2 linked regions of the Saccharomyces cerevisiae S288C genome follow. The protein of the gene in region 1 interacts with the protein of each later gene in a pairwise test. Each region holds a gene or a part of one and is shown on either strand. Other genes may lie near its edges.

The links.
Region 2: the proteins of CTR2 (region 1) and RBD2 interact in a protein complementation assay, tested with the Saccharomyces cerevisiae proteins (2 studies listed by BioGRID).

Annotation. Positions count from the first base shown.
Region 1 is NC_001140.6:451,058-454,276, forward strand, and holds CTR2 (low-affinity Cu transporter), read left to right. Parts: upstream 1-1,814; coding exon 1,815-2,384; downstream 2,385-3,219. Other genes in the region: YHR173C (uncharacterized protein), read right to left, coding at 1-96; phosphopyruvate hydratase ENO2, read left to right, coding at 270-1,583; YHR175W-A (uncharacterized protein), read left to right, coding at 2,501-2,650; FMO1 (N,N-dimethylaniline monooxygenase), read left to right, coding at 3,172-3,219. UniProt on the Saccharomyces cerevisiae protein: Provides bioavailable copper via mobilization of vacuolar copper stores and export to the cytoplasm.
Region 2 is NC_001148.4:84,009-87,422, reverse strand, and holds RBD2 (putative rhomboid protease RBD2), read left to right. Parts: upstream 1-2,125; coding exon 2,126-2,914; downstream 2,915-3,414. Other genes in the region: UDP-galactose transporter HUT1, read left to right, coding at 1-409; YPL245W (uncharacterized protein), read right to left, coding at 473-1,837; YPL247C (uncharacterized protein), read left to right, coding at 3,227-3,414. UniProt on the Saccharomyces cerevisiae protein: Probable rhomboid-type serine protease that catalyzes intramembrane proteolysis.

The sequences.
Region 1 (3,219 bases):
TTCTGGCTTTGATCTTACTATCATTTGGATTTTTGTCGAAGGTTGTAGAATTGTATGTGACAAGTGGCACCAAGCATATATAAAAAAAAAAAGCATTATCTTCCTACCAGAGTTGATTGTTAAAAACGTATTTATAGCAAACGCAATTGTAATTAATTCTTATTTTGTATCTTTTCTTCCCTTGTCTCAATCTTTTATTTTTATTTTATTTTTCTTTTCTTAGTTTCTTTCATAACACCAAGCAACTAATACTATAACATACAATAATAATGGCTGTCTCTAAAGTTTACGCTAGATCCGTCTACGACTCCCGTGGTAACCCAACCGTCGAAGTCGAATTAACCACCGAAAAGGGTGTTTTCAGATCCATTGTTCCATCTGGTGCCTCCACCGGTGTCCACGAAGCTTTGGAAATGAGAGATGAAGACAAATCCAAGTGGATGGGTAAGGGTGTTATGAACGCTGTCAACAACGTCAACAACGTCATTGCTGCTGCTTTCGTCAAGGCCAACCTAGATGTTAAGGACCAAAAGGCCGTCGATGACTTCTTGTTGTCTTTGGATGGTACCGCCAACAAGTCCAAGTTGGGTGCTAACGCTATCTTGGGTGTCTCCATGGCCGCTGCTAGAGCCGCTGCTGCTGAAAAGAACGTCCCATTGTACCAACATTTGGCTGACTTGTCTAAGTCCAAGACCTCTCCATACGTTTTGCCAGTTCCATTCTTGAACGTTTTGAACGGTGGTTCCCACGCTGGTGGTGCTTTGGCTTTGCAAGAATTCATGATTGCTCCAACTGGTGCTAAGACCTTCGCTGAAGCCATGAGAATTGGTTCCGAAGTTTACCACAACTTGAAGTCTTTGACCAAGAAGAGATACGGTGCTTCTGCCGGTAACGTCGGTGACGAAGGTGGTGTTGCTCCAAACATTCAAACCGCTGAAGAAGCTTTGGACTTGATTGTTGACGCTATCAAGGCTGCTGGTCACGACGGTAAGGTCAAGATCGGTTTGGACTGTGCTTCCTCTGAATTCTTCAAGGACGGTAAGTACGACTTGGACTTCAAGAACCCAGAATCTGACAAATCCAAGTGGTTGACTGGTGTCGAATTAGCTGACATGTACCACTCCTTGATGAAGAGATACCCAATTGTCTCCATCGAAGATCCATTTGCTGAAGATGACTGGGAAGCTTGGTCTCACTTCTTCAAGACCGCTGGTATCCAAATTGTTGCTGATGACTTGACTGTCACCAACCCAGCTAGAATTGCTACCGCCATCGAAAAGAAGGCTGCTGACGCTTTGTTGTTGAAGGTTAACCAAATCGGTACCTTGTCTGAATCCATCAAGGCTGCTCAAGACTCTTTCGCTGCCAACTGGGGTGTTATGGTTTCCCACAGATCTGGTGAAACTGAAGACACTTTCATTGCTGACTTGGTTGTCGGTTTGAGAACTGGTCAAATCAAGACTGGTGCTCCAGCTAGATCCGAAAGATTGGCTAAGTTGAACCAATTGTTGAGAATCGAAGAAGAATTGGGTGACAAGGCTGTCTACGCCGGTGAAAACTTCCACCACGGTGACAAGTTGTAAAGTGCTTTTAACTAAGAATTATTAGTCTTTTCTGCTTATTTTTTCATCATAGTTTAGAACACTTTATATTAACGAATAGTTTATGAATCTATTTAGGTTTAAAAATTGATACAGTTTTATAAGTTACTTTTTCAAAGACTCGTGCTGTCTATTGCATAATGCACTGGAAGGGGAAAAAAAAGGTGCACACGCGTGGCTTTTTCTTGAATTTGCAGTTTGAAAAATAACTACATGGATGATAAGAAAACATGGAGTACAGTCACTTTGAGAACCTTCAATCAGCTGGTAACGTCTTCGTTAATTGGATACTCAAAAAAGATGGATAGCATGAATCACAAGATGGAAGGAAATGCGGGCCACGACCACAGTGATATGCATATGGGAGATGGAGATGATACCTGTTCGATGAATATGCTATTTTCGTGGTCATACAAGAATACGTGTGTCGTCTTTGAATGGTGGCATATCAAGACCCTGCCTGGACTGATTTTAAGTTGTTTAGCAATTTTTGGTCTAGCCTACCTCTATGAGTACTTAAAGTACTGTGTCCATAAGAGACAATTATCCCAGAGAGTATTGTTACCAAATAGATCTCTGACCAAGATCAACCAAGCCGACAAAGTGTCCAATAGTATTCTATATGGTTTGCAAGTGGGATTCTCATTCATGCTCATGCTTGTATTCATGACTTATAATGGTTGGTTAATGTTAGCTGTCGTGTGTGGGGCAATATGGGGTAATTACAGCTGGTGTACTTCGTATAGTCCTGAGATAGATGACAGCTCCCTCGCCTGCCATTAAGATGGTGACAAATATTACAAATTTGATACTATTTGTATCTATTTTGTTTTTATCCGGGATTTTTCGTATTTCTTCCTCATTCATACCCTTCCCTTTATTTGTTCCCACTGAGTATAATGATAAACTACGTTAACATTACATGTATAATATTTAGCACTCGTACGTTACTAGTCTTTGACACAAGTTTATATATCCCCCCCTTTATGTTATCGTTTATTGGCTACAGCCTCAGTAATCAAAATAGTCCACTATTTCTATATCATTAACTTCTGCGTCGCCAAGATGTTAATCATGAAACGATCTAGTTCTTCAACAGTTTGCCAGCGACCATTCGAGCTAATCTTGAACAAAAGTAATACTATTTAAGGGTGGGCGCGGGTTGTTATACCGTTTTGAGACGATCTACTATAACGTTATATTTAATTATATAAGTGATGAATTTAATGTCCCGTCCACAACACGAAATCGCACCTCATTTCAACGCGGCAAGTATTAATGTTCTGCTTTATGAAAGATTCCATGAACCCTTTTCTACCTTTTAAATTCCTCTTTTCACTCTTAATCACATGATATTACCTTTACATAGGAAGCGCCAGACATCTTTTTGCCGAGAAAAGCCATTATGCAAGATAATCCTGTAGCCTCATATCAAGGATAAATGCCACTGCAAAAACGCAGTCGTTATTTGGGACTGTATTTAAATGGGCCACTGTTTTTATACAAGTCGAAAATACAATAATACAGAAAATTCAAGCAGGAAGCGAGAAATAACAAGAAGTAACTAGGCATGACAGTGAATGACAAAAAAAGATTGGCAATCATAGGTGGGGGGCCA
Region 2 (3,414 bases), on another chromosome or scaffold:
AAAGGGAAAACAAACTTTGATAACAGGTGCACACTTGATGTTTACACTGAACCTCTTCGTGATATTGTGGAATATTTTGTATTTTATTGTGATCGACTGCAAACAATGGGATAATGCCGTTTCTGTATTGACGATGGACCCACAAGTGTGGGGCTATTTAATGCTTTATTCGTTCTGTGGCGCTATGGGACAATGCTTTATTTTCTATACTCTAGAACAATTTGGCTCTTTAGTTTTGATCATGATAACAGTCACCAGGAAAATGGTCTCGATGATTTTGAGTATTATTGTCTTCGGTAAGAGTGTACGTTTCCAGCAATGGGTGGGGATGTTTATAGTATTTGGTGGAATCACTTGGGAAGCACTCAACAAGAAGAAGGCTAATATACCGAAGGCAAAATCTGCGTAGATTAGTGAAGATCGCAACAAATAAAAGTTAATATTTATAAAATTTGTCTATACTATGTACTTCCTATTTTTTTGATGGACGAAGCAGTCTCTCTCTTAATTCAGGATCGTATGCATAAACATACAGACCACGCACGCCACGAGTTAAGAGGACATTAATGCTATTCATAATAATCTTTTGCTTAACGTCCTCTGCATTGTGAATGTTTTTCTTTTTGGTGAAACCGGCCCTATCGTCATACAGCTCTGGTCTTAGTTTGATGCAGTCATTAGCCGCATCATACCCAATGGAACGGCCCAAAATTACACCAGCATAATTCAGATCAAACCCTTGGATAGTATACACACTACCTACCTCATCAATCGTGTCGCAACGCTCACTCCAAGGCGTCACTTCACGTGGAGTATAGCGATCCCAGCGAACTTTGAAATTGTCACCACATTCAACGTAATAGTCTTTTCCGTCCAAGCGATAGGGAAAATCGTAAGTAGATAGCATCCTACATTGGCCGTATTGACGGTCTTTCTCCTTGATTGCCTCGTACATGGCGCCACAATCATCCCAAATTTTGAAATCAAAATTCTTAATTTTATCGTCAGCACAATCTGCATTGCCCTTAGATAGCACAGATTCAATTGGTGGGATTTTACCTGCGACACTAATTTGGTCAATCCAGTTCAACACGTTTTGTGGGGCAGCAACCCTAAACTGCTGTTTTAAAGTGTACCAGTCTCTGGATTTTGGTGGAATCTCGTTGTAAAAGTCCTTTAAAGTGGCACCGTTATTAGAACCTTCATCCCAATAGGAACCCATTCTTAAAGCTTGCTTATCATCGTAAACCAATACAAGCACTTTACAAAGGGACATTAAGTCTTTGAGATGGTTTTCGCCATAAAATCTTTTGAAAGCATCCTTAGAAGTGGCCAACAAATGTGCTTCATCTACAATGACTACATCGGCCATGACTTTTCTCTTCTGTAGATTGTTGATCAACGAAGTGGGCCGTTCTAGTGACGATTTAGAAATATATTTGAAACTGTCACTAATCCGGATATATAACTTTAACATCTCGGGATGGTTGACTACCAGATAATTATGTGTCCCATGTAAGATATCTTCAGAAGAAGGTGAGAACTGGGATAGTTTCTGAATTTCATTGAACAAGGAGTTTAGAATCACAGACTTGCCTGTACCTGCGTCCCCTTGGATTACAAACATGGCCGGATGTTTCCAGTCAGACTTGTACTGAGATAAGTTGGAACGCATGAACGACAAAACGCGCTCTCTCAACTTTTCTTGTTCAGCAGAGAGTGTTACGTTAGACAACTTGTTCATAGCCTGCGTGGAGACCACGGGCCTAGGTGCTCTTCTTGGTCTCTTCACGCTTCTCACATTGCGGGAAATAGCTTTTGAAGTAGGCCCATGCATTTTATATGGTTCTAATGGAAGTTAAATGCTACTACCGGGTCGCCAAGAAAGATGCGATGCCATGCTGCATACATATGCATAGATTGTTTATATATGGCGATGGCTGCTTTTATGATTTCTCGAGAAAATTTTTCACTTTTTTCGGCCCTTTGAGATCTAAAGCCTCTTTTTTTTTTTTTTTTTGAACTGCATCGATACAAGAAGAATAGGGGGATGGGAAAGGCTTAATTGGAAGCACTGAGAACAGCAATTCACTCTGGTTGTTAGGTTGTGCTATTTGGTCGTGCTATGAATTGGAAGTCGTACGTTTTTCCCGGTGGTCATCCACCAGCTGCGTTGACCACAGGCCTTGTGGTATTTCTAACCGCTATTTACCTGTTAAGTTTTATTTTTGCCCTAAGGGAAGACCTGTCGTTGGCGCCAGAGTCATTGTTCAAACTGCAAATGAGCAGGCTATCGCTTTATCCTTTAATTCACCTATCATTGCCTCATTTACTGTTCAATGTGCTAGCCATCTGGGCACCCTTGAATCTCTTCGAAGAAACGCATGGGACTGTGTACACAGGTGTTTTTTTGAACCTGAGTGCTCTATTTGCCGGAATTCTGTACTGTTTGTTGGGTAAGTTGCTATATCCAGAAGCATTAGTTGCAGGCGCCAGTGGGTGGTGTTTCACCTTATTCGCATACTATAGTTTTAAAGAATCACAGATCCGCCCTAGAACAAGGATCTTTCGCACAGACTACTCAATTCCGACATTATATACACCCCTAGTACTATTAGTCGCAATTGCCGTCGTTATACCTGGCTCCAGTTTCTGGGGTCATTTTTTCGGCTTATGTGTCGGTTACGCCATAGGCTACAAGGAATCGTGGTTTAACAAGATCACTCCACCAGGATGGATCATCACCAAAATCGAAAAAAGTTTAGACGGTTTAATTCGATTAATACCTTGGGGAATTAAGTATTACAGAGATGAGGATATCGACAGAACTAAAGATTACGAACCGTTAATGTCCACAGAAACACCATTGCCTCTCCACAATGACAACTCCGGCACTGTCCTAGGGACTGCCTAGACATTTGTATCGCTATTCTTTCTTTCACAGTTTAAGGATGTATATAAATGTAGTATATATCATTTTATATTCTAATATGCAAGAATTTTCAGTCTCTTCTTTTTCCTTAGCGTGCGTTTATGAAAAAAAATGGAATATGAATAATTACTGGGAGGAAGACCAGGGGCAAGGGGTGAACCATCTTGTCATCTGAAATCTTGTATAAATAATTTAGTAATCAGTTCTTTAGGTTTTCGAGAGTGGCATACAACCTAAAGGGTCAACAGACAACAAGAAGGAAAGGAATTATAGGAGCAAATACACGCCCTTCAAATGGATCCCTTTCACAATGGCAATAAAAGGAGCTCAATATCGTTTGGCTCATCGCAGCGGCAGCCATATAACAAGAACAATTACTTGAGTGGTACTAATGGGCCTTCCTCGGCGGCACAAGATCAAGGTAGAGGCCCATCTCCCTTTGGAATGTCTGGCAACACTACCAATGGCGGTAACAGCAAAAG